Arabidopsis thaliana: one gene and its partner. The protein of the gene in region 1 interacts with the protein of each later gene in a pairwise test. Each region holds a gene or a part of one and is shown on either strand. Other genes may lie near its edges.

Region 1 (4,921 bases):
TCAAAATATCTCTCTACTTATAATCAACAGCATCAAGCTTTCCACATCAAGATCTGATCAAAAGAACACAAATTGACCTGATCTGATCTCATTCCTAATGATCATAGACACTAAAAGTGAAAGTCAAATCTCTTTATAATCTAAGACTTGGTTCTCTTGTGCAACGACAATATATAGGATTTGATCACTCCGGATCAGGCAATGATTTTAAAAACTCCGAACACCGATGGAACAAGCAAAAACCCTACTCGGGTCGATGCAACGGATGAATCTTGCACAACAACAATCAATCTGCCACAAGAAAAAAATCAAAATTTTCAAAATGGGAAAATCGAAAGTTTAAACGAACCCAACACAAAGAACGATGCAATGAACCGAATCCAGACAACAGAAATTGTCTGAAAACAAAGAGATCGATCTGGGATTGAAAAGAAAAGGAACAATATTGGTTTGGTATTTGTCGGAAAATAAGGGAGGGAAATCGAGAGAATGCTTAAAAGCACTACATTTGCATAAAAAGCTAAAGGGAGGTGTAATCTTGTTCGATAAGTCAATTACGAAGAAGATGAAGATGATGAAGGAAATTGATTGAACGAGTTTGAAAAACGCGTTTGGGTTTAATAATCATCAGCGAATTTTGCGTTCTTCTTGTCATAAATTATGAATTTGTTTTCTATTACCAACTCGTTCCAGCAGCAGCAGGCGATAGAATAATCAAATTAAATTTTATTTTGTCAAATTTCTCAAGTAATGTAAGTAACCACTAGGTTTGATTGGATTTGATCCACTTAAAGTCTCAAACTTTATAAGAGCATTTATAATAACAAAATTTATTAACTGAATTTTAAACTTGTTAGTTACAAAAAGGTGTGGAATACTGTTCACATCCCAATAAAGTAGTTTGTCATGCAAATTGCAAACCAAAACTACGGGTCAAAGATTGTAGTGATAGATTTCAGTTTCCAATCATCAGCTTTAGCTTCCATTGTATTTGTCCCATATAATAACCATGGTCTCTCAAAGAAGGAAGACAGGTTATATGTATGATCCGCGATAACTAACCGGATATCGCTTTGTAGCCTTCCTTTTCCAGTAGTTTGGCCAAGGAGTTGTCTCCGGTTTTAATGATTCTCCCATTCTCCTGAAACCCAAGGAAACATACATGAGCTTACCAAAATATATATGATCATTGTGTAGCCAGTAAAGAAGGCTGGTTTGGCAACAATGCTCACCATGATATGTATGAGAGTTGGTTTGATGTAGTCAAGTAGGCGTTGGTAGTGCGTTATCATCAGAACAGAGTTTTTTGGTGTCAAAAGCCCGTTCACCGCCTTTGCCACATCTTGAAGAGCATCAACATCCAACCCTGAATCAATCTCGTCCAGTATAGCCAACTCAGCTCCAAGGACCTGCAAGGACAGGAAAACGTTGCATTAGCGTACTTCCATGACCTCTTTCCATATATTGCTTACAAAGAATAGGAGACTAATAGTGTTCTCATGTTATCGATAAACCAGAAATGACCACTCCTTGGGAGGCAGATATTTCAAGATCAGGAAAATATAAAGAGATATGAAGACATATAACATGCCATGTCTTTTTAGCTAAAACTGCAGTCAAATACTTGTAATAGAATACTAACTGCCATGCAATAACCGCGTCTACTTATGGTAAAACCTGTAACTGCTTAAGCTAATCTACCCAGATATCCTGAAATTCCTAACTATTAGCCTTGTGGTTTTGCACACTGTAGCATGGAACAAGCTTAGTAATCCACTACCTTCTCTAATCACATTTGTTTCTTATCATATGCAGTCCTTATGGATACTGAGAAACAAGGGAAGCAGAACCATTACCGCTAACTGTAGAATCTCATTGCGTTTCCTTTCACCACCACTAAATCCTTCATTGACATTTCTGTTGAGAAAATCGGTCTTCATATTCACAACTTCGAGTTTTGATACCAAGTGGCTGTAGAACTGCATGAGCCATGTGATATCAGTAAGACATAATACATAGACAGTTCTACAATTGGGACCATTTAGCAAACAACAACAAGTAAGAAACAGTGCAAACCAAATCCAAGTCATTTAATTCGATAAGGCACCTGGATTGGATCAAGCTCTGGCTGACCAAGCTTTCTTTTCCGAGCATTGAATGCCATATTCAAGAAATCCATATTGCTAACACCAGGGATCTCAACTGGGGACTGGAAACTCATAAAGAGACCGGCAAGAGATCTATCCTCTGGTTCCATATCAAGTAGATTCTGCCCTTTAAACACAATACTCCCTCCCGTCACTTCATAATCGGGATGACCAACAAGAACCTACAAATAATAAGACTCTCACTAAGATAACAAACAGAAAGAGAACAATACTCTGCAGCATCAATGTTAATCCTGAGATACAAGATATACAAATAAAATGTTCACCTTCGAAAACGTGCTCTTTCCTGAACCGTTCTTCCCCATCACTGCGTGAACCTATTAGCAACCACAAAAGAAGCCATGGATTACAATCGGCAGCAATGCAAAACAAATCCACACAAATAGAATTCACAAGTTATGATATCAAACTCAAAACTTTATCATATAATGAGACAGCACTACCAGGCAAAGCTTTCTGCAAATTAAATTTCAAGTCTTAACCATAAAATTGCATTGATTAATACGCACCTCTCCTTCGTAGACAACCAAATTGACGCCTTTCAGTATCTCTTGTCTCGATTCAGCAATCACTGCTCTCAAATCCCTAACTTCAAGCAACGGGATCCTCCCCACGTCATCACGATCTTCCACCAACGAATCCGAATCGACGGCTGAGGATACGGAAGACGCCGAAACAATAACTGAACGGCGAGTAGTTCGCAGGATTGGAGCGGCGGCGGAATTAGCTCGGAGATTGCATAATAGAACACGAGAGGGTGAAGTCCCGAGGCGAACTCGCTGAGTAGGAAGAGGAGGAGGAGAAGAAACAGTTGGAACGAATTGAGCTATGGAGTATGCGTGACGGAGCTGTAGGTTAACGCCGGCCATGGAGACAGAAATTGCGGCGGAAGAAGACGGTGGAGGTTTTATCCGGTGAAGTGATGTGGTTAGTTAGGTCCAGGGATTCTTTTAATTTCACATGTTGAATGCCACGTAATATATATATCGGCTACTAGCTTAATTAAAATGGAAACAAAAAAAAAATGGAAATAACAAATAAAACGACATCACTTTGTGTTGATACGCATATTCTTCAAAACCTTAAAAGCTTCTTTCCTTGAAGTACAAGAAACTATTTACACATATGAGACCTTGGGATGAAGAAACAGACAAAGTCCATACCCTAAAGCAATCCTAAACCCATACCGTAATCTCAAAATCTCTTCTTACCTCTCTTTCTATCTTATATACATCATTCAAACATTTTTTATGTTTTCATATACAGTTTGATTCATTTATTTCGTAAAGGCTTTGAACTTTTTGTCCTGATATAGTGTGATCTATATATAAACATATATGGCGGCGATTTTCAAGAGACCAAGGCCGGGAGGTGGCCGTCATCCGCCACCGCTGGCTCCGACAGTGAGTAGTTTCAAGCCGAGAGCTCAATGGACTAACTCCGGATCTTCCATTTTCCTCTACGTTAATCTTCCTGGTCTTTTTTCTTCTCTCTTTCTTTCTTTTTGTTTCTTGAGATCAAACTTTAATTGATAACAAACTTTATGAATTTCTCGTTTATTGTGTGGAACCGGCAGGGTTTTATAGGGATCAAATAGAAATAAAAAAGGATGAGAGGACAAGGACTGTCCAGATTCAAGGCCAGCGACCGCTCTCTGCTCAGACTAAGGCTCGTTTCAGTGAAGCTTACCGTGTCCCTGATACCTGTGACATGACCAAATTGAGCACCTCCTTCTCACATGGACTCTTGACCATCGAGTTTCCAGCAATCGTGGAAGCTAACAAACAGGAGAAAGCAGTCCAAGATCAGGAGAAGATTGGACAGAGGTCTAATCAGGAGAAAAGTGGAGGGCCTGGTCCTAATGGGAGTACCTTGGGACGAAAGAAAGCTTTGGAGGAGGAGAAACAAGTGGGAACAAGTCAAGAGAAAACCACTCCAACGTTGAATGAAGAAGCACCCAAAACGTATAAATCAGTGGTTGAGGGTAAAAGAGCAGTGCCAACGGGCAGTCAAGAGAAGTCTGAAGCGAAAGTTAAAGCGCGAGAGGCAATCCCTAGCTTAGGGGGAAGAGAACGTGCGAAAGAAGAGAAGGTGGTTGAGAGAAAGGAGGCTGCTCACATAGTTCAGCAAAAGATAGGAGATAAATTGAAGGAGGAAGAGGCTAAAAGTACACCAACCCTTGGTGGTAGCTTAAAACCTAAGGTACAGGCAAAAGAAGAGAAAGTAATTGAGAGAAAGAAAGATGATGATATAAGTCAGCTTAAGACTGGACAGAAGGTGAAGGAAAAAGAGATTAGCAGAACGCCGACCATAGATGCTAGAGTGGAATCCAAGGAACATGCCAAAGTTGTTGAGAAAAAGGAAGATGGTGAAATAGGTCAGAAGCTGGAGGGAGGAAGGATTAACTTGGGACCAAAGAAAGAAGATAAATTTACAAAACCAGTTGTTGGTGATGAGGCAAGAAGAATAGAGAAGAATGTTGCTCAGAGAAACCAAGCAGAGCCTAAGCTAAAAACGAAAGAGGGAGATGAAAGAATCAAACTGGATGTTGATGATGGCGTGAGAAACAAGCAGGATGAGAATAATGAGATGGTTGGAGACATGGTTAGTGAAGGAGAGATTCAAGACAGAGTGGAGCAGAAGAAGATAGACGAAGCTGGTTTAGCCAAAGATAGAGGCGATCTAAAGGATAATGCTGAAGTCGTGGAACCAGAAACCGGTCCATTACTAGTCAAAGAAGGACAGAAGAAGAG
Region 2 (5,907 bases), about 16 Mb from region 1:
GTCATGCAAAAATGGAAGATGATGACGGTTACAAATTGATCTGTCTAGACATCTTATCTTCTTTATTCATGGCAAGTCTTTGGTACTACTATACGTGTGATGTGAACGCATTTCAGATAAGTTAAGTAGATATATATCTTGTTGTATGTGTGAATGCATCTCCACATCTTGAGATTTGGTTGGTTAACATTGGGTTAAATGTGAACGCGTCTTTGGAATAGTATATAATAATAATTTAGACGCGCGTTTGTTAACTTTCAAACATTTTTGTGAACCACGCTCCACCAAATAAGACATGTGGTGGACGTTGCAACTAGATTTACGCATCTTGATGGGTTTCCAAAAATGGTAAGTAGAAATTGGTTTTCTCTCAAAAGCACCATTATTTAGGGTTTGGGAATGAAAAAAGTTTGTATCTTTATCGTTATGATTTTACTCATGCTAAACCAAAGGTTTCTTCATCGCGTTTTGGACTTCGTCTTATCTACCGCCCTATGTGTTACATGATACGACATATATGATACCCAGAAAAAAATTCATGTGTGCGGGACAAAAAGCCTCAGATGACTTTTGATTTTGAAAAACTATGATCATTTTTAAAAAAGTTGTAGAAATTAAATCATTTTGAACTATTCGATGCAACCAACCTATCTAAAAATGAAGTAAATTCCGCAATTTTAGATAGATGGACATCCTCAGATCACATCCATTTAAACTACCATAATACACGTAGATGGCTCTAGACCTCTAGTAGAAGATATGATACTACTATCTTTGATATGTCGACATTGGAAGATACATTTTACACCGTAGAGCTTTGTGGATATTTCGAAAGTAATTAGTGTATAATTCAAATCAATTAAATTTAGATATATAAATGTACCATTCTAATGCAAATCCTTTATAACAAAAAAAAAAAGGACTTTCCCAAAGGCCAAACAAATGATTGTTGACATTGACCACACGATCGTTTAGAAACATCACAAATTTTCAATCTCCTCCTAGTCTCCTAGGCTCATACCACTTACGTTCGCATGTTACATACCTTTTTTGAAATGGCCAGCTCATTTTTGATCAAATGAATACTGGATTTACAATGGGAAAAAATTCTGCATCTATGTTCTTAGATTTACAAAATAAACTAGAAATGTTCGTTTTAGTATTTTCTTTCTATGAAATAACTTGTTGTTTTATGAATTATGAGTCTAAAAATGGCATATTAGAACCAAAAAAGATTAGCACATGACATTTCAAAATCTTAAATGGTAACATTTTCAAGATTTTTATTCTATCATTAGTTGTTTCTATCATGACATTTCAAAATCTTAAATGGCATATTAGAACCAAAAAATTATTTGTTTTATTTTGTACGTACAATTACCATATTTTTATTCATTGTCATAGTTGTTCAGGTGGATCTTAGATATTTCAAAGTATAAAATTTGTGATCGTATTTTAGATGATTACACACATATCACATATGTAATGCACATAATATTTCCAAATTAAAGGTAAAATATTATTTTTACCGGAGTATGTATATATTCAATCCAGATTATTTTTAAAAAATTAGATTTTTTTTGAATGATCAGTCTTATCAAGAATTCAAAAGATAGTGTTGTTGTCAATCAAAATTACTAAAAGAAAATTGTTTAGTCAACATATATACGTACCTTAATAAATATTTTTCTTAGAATCTAAAGGAATTTACAGATGTTAAAATAAAATCCAATAAAGTGTAAATTTACCAAACAAGTAAAGACCATTTTTCAAAAAGAAAAAGAAACCAAGGAGACCAAATTATGATTGAGTTTTACAAAATACAGAAAATAAAGAAATTAAATAAATATCAAAAACTCAAAAGAGACCTCTCTTCTCTCTCTCTCTCTCTCTCTCGCTACTCTCATCTTCACCGTACGCTTCTTCGATCTACGCTTCTCTCTAGCTATAGCTTCCATTGTCACGATTCCTCCCAAAGCGTAGAATGTGGAACCCTAGATACCTCAAATTCAGCTAGAGATCTATCTACTTTCACCTCTATTACTTTCTACTTCTGAAACCCCTCATCAGAGCTACACACAGTGATGGGAAACTGTTGCAGATCTCCCGCAGCAGTTGCTAGAGAAGACGTGAAATCCAACTATTCCGGCCACGATCACGCCCGCAAAGACGCCGCCGGCGGTAAAAAATCGGCGCCGATTCGAGTTCTAAGCGATGTTCCCAAGGAAAACATCGAGGACCGTTACTTACTCGACAGAGAACTCGGCCGCGGCGAGTTTGGTGTCACTTACCTCTGTATCGAGAGGTCCTCGCGTGACCTACTCGCTTGCAAATCGATCTCCAAGAGGAAGCTTAGAACTGCTGTGGATATTGAAGATGTTAAAAGAGAAGTAGCGATTATGAAGCATTTGCCTAAGAGTTCGAGTATTGTTACTTTGAAAGAAGCTTGTGAGGATGATAATGCTGTGCATTTGGTTATGGAGCTTTGTGAAGGTGGCGAGCTTTTCGATCGGATTGTTGCGAGAGGTCATTATACGGAGCGTGCTGCTGCTGGTGTTACTAAGACTATTGTTGAGGTTGTGCAGCTTTGTCATAAGCATGGTGTGATTCATAGAGATTTGAAGCCCGAGAACTTTTTGTTTGCTAATAAGAAGGAGAACTCGCCTTTGAAAGCTATTGATTTTGGATTGTCGATTTTCTTCAAGCCAGGTCTGTTACTGCTTTTGATTTTAAAGTAGATTTCAATTCTCTAGCTTTTATTGTTGATTATTAGTGTTGTTGTAGTGGAATACTGGGTCATAGAGGGAGCTTCTAGTTTATTGTAGGATTTATGTTTCTTGATTGATACATACCTTTGATGTATTTTGACCAGTTTATTTGGTGTTGATGCTGTTTTTGTAATGCTTACATATGACCAGGTGAGAAATTCTCTGAGATTGTTGGGAGTCCATATTACATGGCACCTGAGGTGCTTAAGCGGAATTATGGACCCGAAATAGATATTTGGAGTGCTGGAGTGATTCTTTATATTCTCTTGTGTGGAGTTCCTCCGTTCTGGGCAGGTCTGTTAACCCCTTCCTCTCTTCTCTAGTCTTTCGATTTCCTCTGCCGGAGCATTTGCTAGTTTTTCGATTCCTCTGCCGGATTCTTATAATACCTTAGCATGCTAGTCTTTTGTAAATTGTAGTTTCAGCCAGTTTTTTCTTTGAACCACAGAGTCAGAACAGGGAGTTGCTCAGGCTATTCTGCGTGGAGTAATTGATTTTAAGAGGGAACCGTGGCCAAACATTTCTGAGACCGCTAAGAATCTAGTCAGACAAATGTTAGAGCCTGATCCAAAGCGTCGGCTGACTGCAAAGCAAGTGCTTGGTACATAGAAGCTACCTTTGCCTTATGCTCTTTCTCTCTGCATCTGTTATTATCTCTTTTCCCAATTACTTCACTGATCTGGAGATACTCCAAAAGATTTTTTTTATGCTTATTCCTGCTTTTGTTATTGTTTCTCATTTGCTAGAGCACCCATGGATTCAGAACGCAAAGAAAGCTCCCAATGTTCCTCTTGGAGATGTTGTGAAGTCGAGGTTGAAGCAATTTTCAGTGATGAACCGATTCAAGAGAAAAGCTTTAAGGGTTTGTTTATCTGATAAACTCTCATTCTTAATTACTTGCATGAGTCACTTCTTAAACGGAAGATATCTTTACTAATCTTATTCAAACCAGGTTATTGCCGAATTTTTATCTACGGAAGAAGTAGAAGACATCAAAGTAATGTTCAACAAGATGGATACTGATAATGATGGTATAGTTTCCATTGAGGAGTTGAAAGCCGGACTTCGTGATTTTAGTACACAGCTAGCGGAATCAGAAGTTCAGATGCTTATTGAAGCGGTGCACATATCTTTCCCTTCTACATCACCGTACATTTATTACTGATTGCTTGACTGAAGAAGTAGAGTCAAACTTCTTTTTGCATGATCTTATCATTCACTTCCCGCTTAATTTTTCAGTGATCTTTTTTTGTTCACGTTCACTATCCAGGTTCACTAAAATATTGTCTTGATAATTCAAATTTGTATAAAACAGGTGGATACTAAAGGAAAAGGAACTCTAGACTATGGAGAATTTGTAGCAGTGTCTCTCCACCTGCAAAAGGTAGCAAACGATGAGCATCTCCGCAAAGCCTTCTCTTACTTTGACAAGGATGGAAATGGGTACATTTTGCCCCAGGAGCTTTGTGACGCCTTAAAGGAAGATGGAGGAGATGACTGTGTGGATGTCGCCAATGATATATTCCAAGAAGTTGACACAGACAAGGTAAGTGTCAAATCTTCTGTCTATGGTATGATCTCATCATGTTCAAAAGAAACTCAAAAGAGCTTTCTTTTGCAAGAGTGTTAGGAAACCAAAGTTGTGAGGAAGTCCTAAAAAGGCACAAAGGACAGGAGATGTGACTTTAAATCTTTTTTCTTTTTGCGCTATTTGTTTGATGATAACCAAACCATTTGAATTTACAGTTTTACACATAGGTAATGGAAACATGCTTTGCAAAAAGTTCTTAAAAGCCTGAGGACAAAACATGTAGCTTTAAACACTTTTTTTCAGTTTTATTCTTTTGGCATTTGTCTGTTGTGTAAGCGGTCCCCATAAACTAAAGGCAAAAATGATTTCTCTGTTGTAGTGGAAATACTATCTGTAGAGAGTTCACTTCTCATATCGTTAAACAGAACCTTAGAGACTATAGTTAGTGTAAAAATGTTTCTTCTGGTTGTGCCTGACATGGATTTTTGACATTAGGATGGGAGAATAAGCTACGAAGAGTTTGCGGCAATGATGAAAACAGGAACGGATTGGAGAAAGGCGTCTCGTCATTACTCAAGAGGGAGATTCAATAGCCTAAGCATCAAGCTAATGAAGGACGGGTCTTTGAACCTAGGCAACGAATAGCGAATCAAAGTGAAGAAGCCGCAATAGGGTCTTTAGTGTCTGTCTCTCACGCCACGTTCTCGTGCACGTCAAGTATTAAACCAAGAGAAGGTAAAACTTGGGATTCAGAATTCATATCTTTTTGTACATCTTTCGTTTTTTAACCTTTCTATTTTTGGTGATTATGTTATCTGTGTTCTTTTTTTTATTGGTTTATGGGTTGAGTTGTGTTTGTTTAGTTTGTTCTGGTAGAAATCCAAAAGACATGAGAATCAGTGTTTGATGTGTAGAAGGAAAAAAAACCAAAGACCATTTCTGGTAATGATGTTGTAATATTCTTTTGTCTTCCTTAACCTCTATAATGATATGATGAGTCATTCACACAACCCTATCCTCTATTTTGCGCAAAGTTCTAAGCGATGATGACTTTGTATCAATCGGTAATATAATGACGCTTGTTTCAAATCAAACACGAAAGCTACCTAGTACCTACTTTTTCCCATCTCAGCTCTGAGTATCAACATCAGTGATTACACTAGCAATCCCTGCATTATTGACCTGCAAACCAAATCAAATAATCACTCAACGTTATACAAGAATCTTAACCAACTCTTATGAGCCTTTCTTTATTGGAGATCAATCACTTATCTGATAGGAACAAATTAACCACAAAAGGGACTTGCTTTCTTGTCAAAAGGTTACCAGTAACATCCTAGCTAGTGCCAATCGTTTTCAACAAGATTTGAGATTTTAGATGCTAAATCCAAAACCTATTTCATACTAAGTAAACTGATAGAGGATTGTACTAATCATACCAAGATATCCAAGTTTTCCAATTTTAGTATTCACAAATCTGTATGTAAAGAGTTGTGACACATGGAGCCGATGAATTATGAAATATAATATTCTGATTATAAAGGCCTTTGTCTACAACTTCAAGTCCCTTTTTATCAGCTCTAGAGGTCAAAACTACGCTAATCATTT

What was found.
Region 2: the proteins of NAP7 (region 1) and CPK13 interact in a protein complementation assay, tested with the Arabidopsis thaliana proteins (one large-scale study listed by BioGRID).

What each region holds. Positions count from the first base shown.
Region 1 is NC_003074.8:3,334,268-3,339,188, forward strand, and holds NAP7 (non-intrinsic ABC protein 7), read right to left. Parts: upstream 3,180-4,921; 5' UTR 3,038-3,179; coding exon 2,678-3,037; intron 2,486-2,677; coding exon 2,435-2,485; intron 2,330-2,434; coding exon 2,108-2,329; intron 1,980-2,107; coding exon 1,857-1,979; intron 1,410-1,856; coding exon 1,233-1,409; intron 1,142-1,232; coding exon 1,058-1,141; 3' UTR 737-1,057; downstream 1-736. Other genes in the region: CPK2 (calmodulin-domain protein kinase cdpk), read right to left, coding at 1-1; AT3G10680 (HSP20-like chaperones superfamily protein), read left to right, coding at 3,506-3,644, 3,745-4,921. UniProt on the Arabidopsis thaliana protein: Essential protein. Required during embryo development, especially at early stages. Involved in chloroplast differentiation.
Region 2 is NC_003074.8:19,230,583-19,236,489, forward strand, and holds CPK13 (calcium-dependent protein kinase 13), read left to right. Parts: upstream 1-1,775; 5' UTR 1,776-2,084; coding exon 2,085-2,709; intron 2,710-2,918; coding exon 2,919-3,062; intron 3,063-3,216; coding exon 3,217-3,369; intron 3,370-3,514; coding exon 3,515-3,630; intron 3,631-3,720; coding exon 3,721-3,888; coding exon of another isoform or gene 3,889-3,933; exon of another isoform or gene 3,934-3,949; intron 3,950-4,083; coding exon 4,084-4,314; coding exon of another isoform or gene 4,315-4,398; exon of another isoform or gene 4,399-4,526; intron 4,527-4,794; coding exon 4,795-4,944; 3' UTR 4,945-5,309; downstream 5,310-5,907. UniProt on the Arabidopsis thaliana protein: May play a role in signal transduction pathways that involve calcium as a second messenger.